4 linked regions of the Xenopus tropicalis genome follow. The main gene of each other region encodes a partner of the protein of the gene in region 2 in a complex. Links are inferred from orthologs where the notes say so. Each region holds a gene or a part of one and is shown on either strand. Other genes may lie near its edges.

Region 1 (3,568 bases), on a different chromosome or scaffold from region 2:
TTTCAGAGCACTGGGTTTGGTTGGGGGGTTGATGGCCCCCTAGAGTCCCAGAGGGGTACAGTATTTATCACAGTTAGATGAAGGTTTAAGCTCTTACTCATTAAAGTTCTCTAGGGCTCCTGCCAGGTGCTTAGAGTCAAATTTACACGAGTAGTTTAACTCATTGGCAATCTGTTGTCTTAACACTTGCATCTGTCCAACCTGTAAAAGCAGAAGGATAAAGTTAAGATGAAGCAGCTCATATCCGCTCTACAAATTGATGACCATGATGATAACATTACAGCAGTCACTGAATGAAAACTCCCAGAATCCTGAGATCTCTGGCAGCACTGAAATTGCCCCCGCTCAAATAATCTTCGGAACTAGTATTCCTTTACCTACCTTCATTATAGCATCAAGATAAGCAGGCCAGATTTTCTGGGTTTTTGCAATGGCAGCAGAGTATATTTTGGCAGAATTAGCTGTATAAAATAATGAATATATGTATCATGCTTAGGGTTAACATACAATGCCTTATAAACAGCCACTGAGGAAAAGCTTCTTATGTTGTAAAACTACACACAACTCTGCCCCTACATGAAACAAAATTTGGTGAGGGCCTTCCTGTGCTTATAAATGTACTTGTATTGGCCATAATACTCTATATCCAAGATGTATATTCACTCCCAAATTACATCCTACTATCCTGGGATAGTAATTATGCCTATGTTCCAAACCTGACAACAATTCCCTTTTAGCAGGAGAGGGCCCATTCTACTGTCTCAAATACTAATAACACATTGCAATTAACACTGAATTTACTCACAGTTCGGGAGCCTATACATAACTGGAACACAGTCATAATAGCGCCAGTACTATAGCCCTAGTGAAGGGCCACAATCTCAGGGCTATCAGCATTACAATCTGCCTTGTCAGAAACTAGTATTACATCAGTAATAAAGCACTTACCTACAATCCCTTTAACTGGAGTAACTACCTTCTGTAAGGCCCGTAATGTCTCCTGGGCACTTTTATCCCTCAGAATTAACCTCTGATACAAGAGGATGAAGTTCTGAAAGAGAACAACCCTGTGACTTCATTCACAGCCACTGCAATAAGCACACACTTTAGCATTACATTCATGTCTTTATTGTTGCCCAATGGAATCAATATCCTACTGTAATAGTGTAGGTGTCATAAACCTTATTATGAAATACAATCAGCAGGAACCATTTACTGGTCACCGGGGCATAACTACAGAGGAAGCAGACCCTGCAGTTGCAGGGGGGCTCAGTGGTTTAGTGGTCCCAGTGAGTCCCTAATTAATGAGCAATTTCAATATATATCATGTCAACCTACTAATATTTGGGGTTGTAAATTCTAGTAATTTCAAGTAACTAGTACAGTCCGACCCTGTATCTAACATTACAGTTTTAAAGCTTAAATGCGAAGGTCTCTATAATTGTGCGCCCTCTGGTGGTACAAACCTGCAGTTCCTTCACTATCATAAAGCAAAGTAACCTGTCCAAGCCATTTAAGCCAAAAGTTCCCAGTGAATCGTTGATCTCTGAGAAGAGGTGGTTATTAGTGACTTCCTGGTGAGTTTTCATGTCGTACCACGTGTTCATCTGATCTATGTAACACGTAACCCTGCCGTGCACACAAAGGGGTAAAACACACATTTATAAAAGGGGAATGCTTTCTCATAGTGAAAAAAACATTTTATTTGGCTACTTACTTCGGATCAGTAATTCTCAGGATTTCCCGACACAGACGTCCTATAAACGTCATTGATTCATCCACAGGAGGAAATTTGGGAATAGGGATGTGAGTTGACTGATACATGCTCTGCCAGTCTTGAATCTGTTGGATATAGAATTGCAAGTGATCAAAAACACTGGGTCATTTCTATGTCAATAATTCTGTATCAGTGGTAAATGGTCTAAGTTGCAGGATATAATGCCACAATAATTATTCCCTATAAGGGTGATCACAAACTGGCATACAGTCCTTTTCTTCCTGTCTGTATTTTGTAGGGAGGCAGAGAAAAGTAGTTCCGTTCCTATAGGCTCCTGTGTGTAGCTGCACTGACAGACACAGAATTGGCCTGACTGCAGTTACATAGAGCGATTTTTGGCCTAAAAAATCTGAAAGCATGCTTTCTTGGGCCGATCTCAACTCTATTTAGCTACACTCAGGCCGCTGTGTCTGTCAGGGTGGCGACACACAGGAGCCTATAGGAGCGGATCCATGCCCAATGAGCCATCACCCTGAGGGTTTGAATTTGAGTGATATGAATCTTTTTTTATAACCTCGACAACTATTTTCAAATGTCTATGTGTTTGTAAATATCCTATTTAATTACAAAGTAAAATACACAAACGGTTATTTCCTTTAGTACTGTAAAGCTGCCACGGTACCTTTGTTCTTAGGAAGTTGTTGCATTCCTGTTCTACGTTGTAATTAACAATACGGGATACTTCCTCCTGCCAAATTTTCAAGCCATAAATGCTGACGTAGTCTTGTATGTACTCGAAGGAGCGATGGAATCCATCCATGGTGGCAGCCATGTCTTTCAGCTTTGGCAGCAGTTCGCTGGGCTACAAGAAAATGCAATTTTTTTTTCCATAAAAGGAACAGGCAAGAGAGGTTTTAAACAAAAGTCCTATTTTTTGTAGTTCATGATAAACCTAACTTGCTGGTTTTGCCCCTTTAAATACCCCTTTGTTGCTATAATCCAGCACAGCTGAATGTGACCGGTATATTATGACAGTGTAGTTCCCCCCATGGGAGGATTCCTATTAAATACCTAGATCAGATAAGATACATGTAAGGCTTGAGAGGCAATCTCCAGGGGAATGTCACTGAGTGTGAGAGGTACTGTGCTGTACTGTACTGCCCTTTCATTCTATTCTGTGCGCATTGTAATCAAATGAAATAAAGCACAGACCACTCTGCAGTTCTACCTTTGCTCTGGAGTTGAAGATAAGCCCTTTGTGTAGAGCAACAGCAACTCTTTTAACCAACTCCTTCCTGATCCCATCCTCCAAAAGCTGCTTTGGATCCACCTATGAAGACCAAGTTAAACAAAGATTAAGATTTCTCACATATTCCTTATGTGCACAGTGCTAATTAATGATTGCTGGCAATGGTTTAAGCACAGGAGAATATCAAAAACTTACAATATGAAAACAGGCACATACCATTATAAGTGTGGTTTAAAGAGACAACACAAATTCCCTGTTATAAATAGTACAGACTGTTGGTACAGTTGCACAGTGACATATTAGCTCTGGCTGACATCACATGGCACTTTTTAGATAAAAGGATATCTTTAGATAATGTAGTTTCTATATTACTAAACAGTACGTTAGGTATAATTACAGCAGATAATACTGATGCATCTGCCTGCAGCTGAACTGAATAGCTAGTGAATTCATTCACAGATAGTAATGGGTTTTAACTCTACTACTAAAATGGAGCGTATCAATATGCTGATACTATTGGGAGAACAAAGCAGAGGGGTGCAATACATTAGGGGGAAGGCCAAGTCTACCAAGGAATTCTTCTCATATTGCAGTGCATTATG
Region 2 (3,568 bases):
CTCAATGCTGGGATGGCAATGGATGTCATCTACTTGGGCTTTGCTGAAGCATTTGATACAGTACAGCACAAAAAGTTACTGAGGAAAAAAATGATCAGTGCACCAGAGGCCACCCCTTTAGATTAGATAATGAGAGCAGTGAGGTTGGGGAATGCCCTAGTGATGTTGTGATGGCAGATTCTGTTAATGCCTGGATGATTTCTTGAACAAGCATAATATCCAAGGCTATTGTGATACTAAAATCTTGATGTTAGTATGTATGGTTTATGTATGTGAATGCATGGATAGGTCAGGATAGGTTTATGTATATGCTGGGGTTCACTTGGAAGGGTTGAACTTGATGGACTTTGGTAGAAAAATACCTAATAAAAAAAAAATAAACTAGTGCATAGTTTTCCATAAAAAACAACAAACTGCATGAACTCTAGTTATAGGATATGTAGAACATGAAGGCAGAAAACACCCACACACACACCCAGGCCTCTGTACTGTATGCTTGGTGCTCAGTATTTCTGGCACTACCACACAAAGCTGATCCAAGGGAAACTAGCCCCTAACTTTTTATTATGCCAAAACCACACAGTGTTTTCATGGGTGTTCTCCCCCGAAACATTGTATAGTTTTGGCATAATAAAAAGTTATGGGCTAGTCCTCCTTGACTTTGTGTGCCAGTAGCCTCTCTTTTGAATGGCACATGAAGGTGGATCATCTGCTATACTCACTTAATTTGTTTGCCCTTGCCCTTGAACTACTAACCAAAAGAAATGTATAAAATGGCTTCTCCTACATTTTGTAATTAGAAATTTAATTGCAGGCACAACAATTATCATGCAGATATACAGGCGTATTCCGATAAAGCAGTTTAACGTTAGTCTTGATATACATTTAGTTACTGACGCTTCCTTACCTTTCTCTTAACTCGCTTATTAAGTCCAGTTTCTTCATTACAAGCAAAAGTGGGAGAAGCTCTTCATCTTTAAAGGTTTTCTATAAAGGTACAATAATGCAGAAATCTATAGACAGCCATTTTTCACAATGAAAAAGTAAATCACTCGTCTTTTGGTTTTACTGTGTGGAGTAGAATGAAAAGAACTAGCTTTATGTGACCATGCTAGCTTGCTAAAACCAGACAAGCTATACAGATTCTATATCTAACAGTATGGCTCATATAAATCATAGCTTAGACACCTTAATTATGAAGGTAAAGCTTTAGTAAAAGAATTGTAAAAGGTACAGAGAGTGCAACTACATTAAAGGAGAAAGAAAGGTAAAAACTAAGTAAGCTTTATCAGAAAGGTCTAAGTAAATACAGCCATAAGCATTCACAGAAACGATGCACTGAGTTATCTGTCAAAAGATGTTGTGTCTGTTTTCCTCTGCCAGAGACACGCAGCTCTCTCCTCTCTCCTGCTCCCCCCTCCCTCTAGAATGCTAAGAACTCACTCCCCCCCCTTAGGAATGTGTATCTGAGCCAATCAGCAGGAAGCTTCCTCATAGTCTTACAAACTGAGCATGTACACTGGTCTGGGTCTCAGTGCAGAAGCAAGGCATTATGGGAACTTTCTTTACATAGCTCAGCGTTTTCTTTCCTGTTTGGCTTCTGATCATCTGAACAGGTGAAATATGGGGAGATTTAAGGACACTATTGAGAGAACTGAAGGTATGCCTGCAGCTTGAGATTAACTCTTTATTAGCCTTTCCTTCTCCTTTAATTAGGAGAATAAACGATTTCACCATTTATGGTGACAGCTGAATAACTGCATTCTGGACATCCATAAGAAGCTGCGTATTAAATAAAAAACTGTTGGATCTTGCACATTGTCCAAGGCATGGCCCATAGGCAGCAAGGTGACTCACTAGTTAGCATTACTTTTTCAGGGTTTATTCCTACTCCCATACAGCCAGTTAGATTGATAGCTGTGTGTGTGCTATGTGAATAGGATGTTAAGATTCACTAGGGCAGGGTCTTACGAGAATGATGAAGAATTTCTGCAAAGAGCTGAATAAATGCATCAGTGTTATATAAATACAACATAATAAATTACAGGACACTACCATCCCTTTATCTTTCAATCTCTCTGTCTCTATGCTGCATCTCTCTCAGTCAGATGTTCAGTGAAACAAAGAGCACAAATGGTAATGATATCATTCATTCGAGGAACTTACCATTTGTGTCCCCACACTTAGGGCTAATGACACAATGAGCCTTCTCTGTCTTGTACTGGGACCATTGAGAGTATTCTCTGCCAATACAAGGGCAGAAAGAACGTCTAAGCGTTGTTCACTGTACTTCTTATCAGAAATAACCCTTTTCTGTATTAGAAGAGATATAAACAAAAATGAAAAAATATATGTATGTAACCAATGTAGGGGTCTACATTTAGTAAAGTATTTGCATCAGGGACTACCAACTTAATTTTAACACTGCTGTGTAATTTGATTTCAACACACTGAAAAAACACACACGATAATAATGAACAATATAAAACAAAATATCCCTTGAGAGGTCTCCAGTGGATAGGGTCCTGCGGACAGCACAGCTTCCCTCACCCACTGCCTGAGCAGCTAAACCATTCTATTCACTGCCCACATGTCATTGCTGAGACAATTTGTGTGGGGGACACAATGGCATGAAGTGAAGCTGTGCTGTCACAAAGCAACTCACTAAAGTCACTATATGCTTTATTGGTCACATATTGATATAAACACTGCTCCTAAAAAAAACACATTATTAAACCTTTAAAATAAATCCACACAATGCCAGAATAGTTAGTAGATTTCTGGGGGAATAAAGAAAAGACTGGTCAGAACTGGTAAGTTTCCTGATGAGAATTGTTGACATTTTAAAAGATGAATTGATTAGTCCACCCCTACCTTAGCAACAGCAATGGCAGCAAGAGCTTGATGCTGGAGGTGCTGTGTAATGTGTGATACAGAATCCGCTACAACCATGCTTCTCCTGTGAAAAGTGTGTTCTATTGCCTATGAACATGAACAGAATGCAAAGTCTTAACACAGGAATACATCTATAGTAATAAGCTCATAACAAATGGGTTGAAAAAAAATAAAAAAATCATTAAACCTGAGATAAAGCAGATTGGATTTAAATATTGCCATAGCTGAATGTCAGTAATTTGGGCAAACTTGCCATTAAGACCTGAGACACAGCTGAAAATGTAACACAGCTGTCTGAACATGGCCAAGGTATTAAGCCTCAGTGTCTCCAATGGCAATGCCATAATTAACACACCTACATGGTTAAAGGAGAAGGAAAGGCAAAGCCACTTGGGGGTGCCAAAATGTTAGGCACCCCCAAGTGACTTTAATCACCTACCCTTACCCAGGGCTGGTGCCCCTGTTAGGAGAGAACAGCACCAACCTGGGGTACCTGCAGCGCTTCCTCCTTCCTGCTTTGCTAGCACGCGCATGCGCAGTAGAGTGAAAAGCCGAACTTTAACAGAGAAGTCAGCTTTTCACTCTACTGCACATGCGCCTGTCATTTAGTCGTAGTAAAAGGAAGGCGGACGGAGGAAGCGCTCCGCTACAAGTACCCCGGGCTGGTGCTGTT
Region 3 (4,127 bases), about 1.2 Mb from region 2:
ACGGTAAAATAATATGAGAAATACACTATGCTGAAACATACCACACAAGTACATACCTTTGCTTCCAAAATATTAAGGGTTGTTTCAATCTGCTGAATACGTAGGGACAAGGCAGAAAGTTTCTAAAACAATAAAAACAAAGTACCAACATTAAAGGTCTAAATAATGGACATATTCTGTAGCTCTGTGAGGGGTAAATAATCAAAGATGCAAATTAAATAGGATCACTGGCCTATGCAGCATATAGAGAAGACCCTGTTCATATGGGCAATGTAATGTAAGCTCCCACCAAGCCCGTGCAGCCATTAAATTACCTGAAAGCCCCAAAATGTACATGTACTGAGATTTCAAACGATAACATTTACCATAACATTCTCTCATCTGAACAGTGCAAGCTGCAATAGACTAAGTAGCACTTGGTTTCCAGTCAATGCTGTAGAAAAGAGGGAAAGCTAGAACACGCTAGGAATACAGTACCTCTTCACAAACTGTAGCAAACCGGTTAAGGAACTGAACAGAGTGCACAACAAACTGGTTCAAAAATGCCACTGTTCTTTTCTGCTGAATAGGTGGGACCTAGGGTTTATTAAATAAAAGAAAAAAGGTCAGTATACTGCATTTGCAAAAGGTATAGAACACAGTGCAAGCAACGGATATTAGTTTGAACAGGTATATAAAGGGTTCATTCATCCAGGCCATGGAAAACAATACCTAGTTGTGTTAAATCTAAAGCAACTTGAATTAGAAGCTCCTCCGATGAGTGGTGAAATGTTTAATAGAACTAGCCTACTAATGACAAACTGAAAGGCTTTTTGACCAAGGCAATATTTCCAAAACTCTAATCAGAATAACTCTATGGGGCCTGGCACATAATGACCAGCAGAGGCACTTTTGCAGTTCTGAAGTTACAGCTGCCTGCATCTTTGCAGGGCTCCTTGCTCGAGGATGACAAGATGTAAAGATGGCCATACACAACATATTTAAGCTGCTAATTCGGATCCTTTAGACCGAGCTTATCTGCCTGTGTATTGGGACAGGACTCCCCGATCATTAATGCGGTACTTGCTCCAACTTCTCATATCCCGTTCATTTTAATGTAATCTTTTGGCCCTAGGGCCAAACAATCACATTAGCACAATATCACCCGCTCAAGGTGAGCATATCCGGGGAAAGATTCACTTGTTAAGCGACGCCATCATACAAGTGAATTTTACCATGTATGGCCACCTTTACACAGCTGAACAATCGGGGTTAGTTAGTGCACATCATTGAGACACACCTTTAAAAAGAGTGGATATTGAGGGAAGGATTTAATAGTTTGCAATGAAAAGAGATTTTATCCAATTCTCCATAGGGTAACTAAACTTAAAAGTGTGAGTTCAAACAAATGCCATAGAATTATTCCACAATCCTGAAGATACAGAAGCCCAGTTAATTAGGATATCTCACTCTGCAGCCCATGGCTGACGGCCGTGTATACTAGCTGTGTGTATACACTTCTAACCAGAGTCCTCTGCACAACAGCAAAGGACAGTTATGTCTACAGGATTAATCAAAAAATAATAGTGGGTAGAAGGGCTTCGCTGTTAACAGGGATGCTGTATCCCTGGGATTATTAAGCAGCAGTATGACATAATAAAGCCCTTTGAAAAACACATTTTTAAGACCTTAAGCCAGCGGAGATGTTTTATAAACGGAAGAGGCAATGTACTTCAGTGTTAAGATGAAGACACACAGAGCTATTAGTAGCAGCTACTTGTCGTGGCTACTGTCTCTACGTATGTTTTAGCAGGGGCAATTCTCGGTATTGTCTAAGGCTGGGTATTTTCTGGCATTTAGTAGCCTTGACAAGTAGCTGCTACTAAGTAGCTCTGTGTGCCTTCACCGTTATTGTCTATGGCAAGGTATTTTCTGGAGTTTAGTAGCTGTGAAAAAGTAGCTGCTACTAGTAGCTCAGTGTGACTTCACCCTTAATGAGAGGGCTACTGCTTCTGAAGTACGCAAATGTGATTAAAATAGTTGTAGAGGCTACTGCATTATTTCCACCACTCTGTGTTAAAAAGACACCTGCATGTGATTTTTTGGGTGTAAGTTTGCTGTGCCTGTTGATGCAGCTCACAATGGGAACCCTGGAATTACGGCCACCTGCAAGCTAGAGGTAGCACTAGGGTTCCCCTGCATCATTAGATGCACAGACAGGCACAAGGTTACTTAGTTCAAATATAAGCAAGTGCACAAATACCTTTAATGAATCTCTTAATGATTGCATCCTTGATTAGCACCATCACAACTGCAGCCATAAACAAGCCCGATTGTGTCTGAGTCTGAATGGAGCTGACCAATGCTTTCGTGGAAATGGCTTTTTTTGAAACACATGATGTATGTGCCATTAAGGAAAAGCCTAGCCACAATTTGAACAACTGGACATCTTTACAGCAAGTGTAACACCACAAAGCACTATGAAACATCAGCTACAGACAAGTGCAGTAACAGTAAATAATCAAGTATATGGGACAGCAGGTCAGTTAAGACAGGAGCCATATGGATATGCTAAGAACATTACAGTACCAATATCATGACTGCACAGTAAATAAAATGAATGAATACACAGTAAAAGTGTAACTTGCCTTCCCTTAATGACTACAGGTTAGTGTAGAGCTGACTGACTAGAAAAATGCACATGAACACACATTACAATACACATTAAATCTGCCCATTCCCCTTCACTTCCCCCTAAAAGACGCACCTTAGTGAGGTCAATCCCAGAGCCCACTATAGGCAGCCCGTCTTCATCCATCAGCCCAGCTCCCCTTGCTCACTGCACTACCTTGTGTTGTGACATGGTCTGTCATGTGATTCCTTCCGTACCATAGAGAAGACTGAAGCCAGAGCGGCACACAGAACCTCTCTTGCTTATAAAACCTCCATGGCTAAAGTTGCTGCTGGCTTAATAATGATTCAGTGACTACAGAACTGCTTCTGTTTCCGACGTATTCATGTGACTAACGCCACTCAAAGCACTTGCTTTTTAGACTTAACCCACTCAATGCCAGATGAGTTTCTTAATTCGTTTGTATTAGTAGGCAGCAGATTGCAGCTTTTGAGCAGGAAGGGAAGTGCAGTAACAAATGAACTGGTTATGGGTGCCGCAAACTCTTTTGTACAGGGAGCATAATGTGTCGCCTCAGCCCTCTCCTGCTGGCTGCAGGGTTGTTGGTTTTTTTTTAATTATTATTACAAACCTTGTATTCAGTGGCTGCTCAATTTTTTTACTTTTATAAAAGTATATTATAGAAGGGACCTGGGCAGAGGTGTTTTACCTATAATGCCACCCTGAGACCATTTTTTTTTTTTTTGCATCAGAAGGGGCTAGTGCATCGCTATCACAGAGAGCACAGTAGCACTTTTTGCACTAGATAGGGTTGCCACCTTAAGCTGGCCATACACGTGGCGACCATCGGTCGCACGAAACATCGTCAGATCCGCCACACACCATTCAGGGCTGAATCGGCAGGTAAGGAGGTAGAAACAATAGGATTTCTACCTCCTGCCGATTCAGCGCTGAAGGGAGATTTTGGTCAGGCGCCTTCTATGGCGCCCGATCAAAATGTTCAAACTGGTCCGATCAGCGAGTTGGCCGTTATCAGCAGCTTCTTGCGATATCGGTCGACTCGCCGACATACCATACACGCACCGAATATTGTAAGTTTGAGGTTTTATTGTTTAAGGATTACCAGAGAAAAAAACTGCTGTTTCACTTGTGCTACTTTTAAAACTGGCACCAATAGTATTGGCCCATATCCATGGGTCAGGCAAAAAGTATACAGAGAAAAATAACTAATATAAAGTAAAATAGAGAAAACAAAAACAAAAGCCATAGTTGTCCCTTTAGGGTCCATATGACTAACTAGCAAAGCAAAGTACCATAATGTGACTGTTCTATCTGCCTATTCTATAAATTCACATTTGTTATGTCACAGGTGGCTTACTTTCATGCTTTTTGGAAAACTGAAGTGTTATAAGGAGCTCTTGATATAGTTTACTAACAGTAAAATATGGTGGTAGTAACATATTGGTGTGGGGTCTGCTTTTCTTTATGGCCGTGGTAGACGGGGAGATTAGTCGCC
Region 4 (3,568 bases), about 40 Mb from region 2:
AGGATCTGTGCCACTGTGACAGAATGCTCTGTTATACAGATAGCTAGAATCTCAGCCATAAAGCAGGGCAGGACTGCTGCTTACAATGGGGGGATCAGATAGGATCTGTGCCACTGTGACAGAATGCTCTGTTATACAGATAGCTAGGACTGCCCTGATTCTATATTAAAATGTTCTCAAAGCTCCTCTAATAACTGAGTATATAACAAGTCCCCTTTTAAGTGCTTCTATAACTGATCAGGTTAATAGGAGATCTTGCCATGTTTAGACCTTGTCAGTGCCCTGAATATCCCCTCTATACACAATGCTAATCTAACGCGCACATCCCCACGCTGCCTAATAGTTCCATTTCACAGCCGATAGGCGCTGCACCCTCTCCGAGCCATTATCAGCGGAAAACAGTAGTTACTCTACAGAGGCCCCACAGCCAGATACTGTTGAACCCATCCAAGTGTGGCCTTCAGCTGTCACAGCGCTGATCTGTTCCTGGCAGCCCAGAGGGAACTTTCTTGGCTTTGGAGCCCTTGTCAATCTTTATTGCTTACAGACTATTAAAGCAGCCATGCGCAAGGGCGTTTTTAACTCTTCACTCACCCTGTTCCTGCTCCTTCATCTTCTTCTTCTCTAGCTTTTTCTCCTTCACATTACGCAGTTTGGCTTTCCCAATGCCCCCAGCCTGGCGGATGGACTCCAGCAAGGATGCTCTTCCGTCAGAGGGATTGACCACTTCTTTGGGAGCCCCCTGTAGAGAACCTAAGGGAACCCAATGCGGTTGGGGCCTGGATGAGTTTTTAGTTAGATGTTCCAGAACAATGGCATTGTATAGAAGGCTGAAACGGCTAAAGGCAATAACAACTTTAAATATACCATAACATTTTTGAAGTCCAAAGATGTCATCTTACCTGGGTCTCCAACATCGCTGCTGCCAACCCTGGCAGGGGCAGGTATAGGCAAAGGTGGGGCCAGAGATGTAGGGGGCGACAGGACACTGGGTTCAGGAGGGGGTGGGGGAGGTGGAGGAGGAGGGGGTGGCGGCGGAGGTGGGAGAAGTCGACCATCCTGACTGTCTGAAAAAGATAAATATTCTATCTTTTAGGAATAATCCAGCAGTTCTCGTCATGTTATCCACAATAAACATGACGAACGCCTGTGTGATCTTCTACATACATTTAAAAGCCCAGCTTGAAGGTCATTTTTGCTTGGATCTGTGAAGACCACTTACCTCTGGGGGGGGCCTCGAGCATAGAGGGGTAGCTTATCCTAAAGGCCAGTTGTAATATCTAGATCTACAATGCCTATTCGCATTCCCACATGCACATAGAAGCCCAGCTTGATGGTCAGTAAGGGTGAAATTTGGGGGAGAAGACTTATTTTCTGCCCTATATACTCCTTAAGGTCCCCATACATGGGCCCATAATAGCTGCAGATATGGGTCCCTTAGACTGATTCGGCAGCTTATCGGCCCGTGTAGGGGCACTACCGACGGGCCTGTCCAACCGATCTCTGGCTTGAAATCGGCCTGATCTCGATCAGGCAGGTTACAAAATCTAGTCGGATCGGGGACCACATCGGCTCGTTGATGCGGTCCCCGGACCGACTTTGCCTATACCCATCATTATAATTCGATCGTTTGGCCCCAGGGCCAAACAATCGAATTACCCTGGATTCTCCTGATATCGCCCACCCGTAGGTTGGGGATATCAGGAGAAGATCCGCTTGCTTGGCGACATCGCCAAGCGAGCTGATCTACCCATGTATGGGGACCTTTAAGGTGGCCATACACCAAGGTCGCCAAGTGAGCGGATCTTCTCCCGATATCCCTACCTACGGGTGGGCGATATTGGGCTAATTCAGGCTAATTTGTTCGTTTGGCCCTGGGGCCAAACGGTCGTATTAGAATGCCCGTAATAGGCGCAGTCGGTTCAGGGATCGCATCAACAAGCCAATGCGTTCACCGATCCGACTAAATTTTTAAACCTGCCTAATTGATATCTGCCCGATTTCAGGCCAGATATCGGTCGGGCAGGCCCGTCGGTAGTGCCCATACACGGGCCGATAAGCTGCCGAATCGGTCCAAGGGACCCATATCAGCAGCTACAAACGGCCTGTGTATGGGGACCTTTAGAACTATGGCCGATTGGCTGATACACCCTGCTCTCCTAAACCTGTAACCTTGATAAGTGCTAAAGGTGGTCCTGACCAAAGTTTAGACCTTCAATAGAAGCTTAAACTGAAAAGGTCCACCTTACAGTCTGGGAATAAAGTCACCTGTCCTAGAGTTTTCTGTGATGTCCTCTGTGATGAAGGTTGGAAGCTCGGGGATAGGAACTCCAGGTGCAGAAGGAGCGATGCCAGGCCCAAGGTCGGCGCTGTACATGAGATCATCAGCCACCCCCGGCAGGTCCGGCAGAGAGTACGGGACATCTATTTCGGGAACCTGCCCAAGGTCTGGGACATAGAAGTAGTTCTCCGCAGTCTAAAGGGAAAGGAGTTGTCTATGTTAACCGGAGTTCGCCTTTTGGAACATCAAGTGACCAACTGCCTTACCTGTCGCTCCAGCTGTTCCCTCTTCGTGATGGAAAGGGGTGCATCGAAAAGCTTCTCCTCATCCTCTCCTTCTAATGCCGGGTTGGTACGAGTCACGACCCCAGCAAGTGGGTCAAGGAACACGTACTTCTTATAGCTGTTAATAGGGGTGATACAATGAGAGGACTTTGATTGACCTTGATCATATTCCACCATTTGTGGTACCAGATCCCTACACCTTCCTATAGAGAACCATTTCTAAGGTCCATCTCAGTAAGTAGTACACCACTCCCAAGCCCTGAGCCCCCCTCTCCCATGTTCCAACCACATTCCCAGTTCCAGGAACCAAAGCCACCAACCATTTGGAGATTCATCAACCTATTCTACAGGGCAGTGCCAATGTACCCCAGGCATCACTTGGTTTAATACATTCATTATCCTTATGGACTTACAGATTCTCTGTTGTGTTGAAAAGGAGCAAGGAGCTGACAGAACTGATGTTTCTGGGGAGGCTGCCCAACCCTTCTTCTGCGCTCTCCTCATCTTGCCCTCTTGTATTCACGCACACTGGGAAATACTTCAGTTTTTCCTGGAGAAGATAATAAAGAAACTACTAATGCAACAACAATTCCTCCATTGTTGTCTCCCTGGTAATCTGATCCCCATTGTAAGCAGCAACCCTGCCCTGCTTTATGGCTGAGATTCTAGCTATCTGTATAACAGAGCATTCTGTCACAGTGGCACAGATCCTATCTGATCCCCCTCCATTGTAAGCAGCAGTCCTGCCCTGCTTTATGGCTGAGATTCTAGCTATCTGTATAACAGAGCATTCTGTCACAGTGGCACAGATCCTATCTGATCCTCCCATTGTAAGCAGCAGTCCTGCCCTGCTTTATGGCTGAGATTCTAGCTATCTGTATAACAGAGCATTCTGTCACAGTGGCACAGATCCTATATGATCCCCCCCATTGTAAGCAGCAGTCCTGCCCTGCTTTATGGCTGAGATTCTAGCTATCTGTATAACAGAGCATTCTGTCACAGT

Evidence for each region.
Region 1: washc4 (region 2) and washc5 share a complex: the UniProt entries of both Homo sapiens proteins name them as parts of the WASH core complex. The link is inferred for Xenopus tropicalis from reciprocal best matches to the Homo sapiens genes WASHC4 and WASHC5.
Region 3: washc4 (region 2) and washc3 share a complex: the UniProt entries of both Homo sapiens proteins name them as parts of the WASH core complex. The link is inferred for Xenopus tropicalis from reciprocal best matches to the Homo sapiens genes WASHC4 and WASHC3.
Region 4: washc4 (region 2) and washc1 share a complex: the UniProt entries of both Homo sapiens proteins name them as parts of the WASH core complex. The link is inferred for Xenopus tropicalis from reciprocal best matches to the Homo sapiens genes WASHC4 and WASHC1.

What each region holds. Positions count from the first base shown.
Region 1 is NC_030682.2:140,395,640-140,399,207, forward strand, and holds part of washc5 (WASH complex subunit 5), read right to left. Parts: intron 3,048-3,568; coding exon 2,946-3,047; intron 2,580-2,945; coding exon 2,400-2,579; intron 1,843-2,399; coding exon 1,718-1,842; intron 1,630-1,717; coding exon 1,467-1,629; intron 1,052-1,466; coding exon 949-1,051; intron 462-948; coding exon 382-461; intron 202-381; coding exon 98-201; intron 1-97. UniProt on the Homo sapiens protein: Acts as a component of the WASH core complex that functions as a nucleation-promoting factor (NPF) at the surface of endosomes, where it recruits and activates the Arp2/3 complex to induce actin polymerization, playing a key role in the fission of tubules that serve as transport intermediates during endosome sorting.
Region 2 is NC_030679.2:50,296,204-50,299,771, reverse strand, and holds part of washc4 (WASH complex subunit 4), read right to left. Parts: intron 2,983-3,568; coding exon 2,875-2,982; intron 2,314-2,874; coding exon 2,167-2,313; intron 988-2,166; coding exon 908-987; intron 1-907. UniProt on the Homo sapiens protein: Acts as a component of the WASH core complex that functions as a nucleation-promoting factor (NPF) at the surface of endosomes, where it recruits and activates the Arp2/3 complex to induce actin polymerization, playing a key role in the fission of tubules that serve as transport intermediates during endosome sorting.
Region 3 is NC_030679.2:49,099,077-49,103,203, forward strand, and holds the start of washc3 (WASH complex subunit CCDC53), read right to left. Parts: upstream 2,865-4,127; 5' UTR 2,798-2,864; coding exon 2,747-2,797; intron 577-2,746; coding exon 478-576; intron 123-477; coding exon 57-122; intron 1-56. UniProt on the Homo sapiens protein: Acts as a component of the WASH core complex that functions as a nucleation-promoting factor (NPF) at the surface of endosomes, where it recruits and activates the Arp2/3 complex to induce actin polymerization, playing a key role in the fission of tubules that serve as transport intermediates during endosome sorting.
Region 4 is NC_030679.2:10,194,591-10,198,158, reverse strand, and holds part of washc1 (WASH complex subunit 1), read right to left. Parts: intron 3,116-3,568; coding exon 2,979-3,115; intron 2,684-2,978; coding exon 2,548-2,683; intron 2,477-2,547; coding exon 2,269-2,476; intron 1,068-2,268; coding exon 903-1,067; intron 754-902; coding exon 595-753; intron 1-594. UniProt on the Homo sapiens protein: Acts as a component of the WASH core complex that functions as a nucleation-promoting factor (NPF) at the surface of endosomes, where it recruits and activates the Arp2/3 complex to induce actin polymerization, playing a key role in the fission of tubules that serve as transport intermediates during endosome sorting.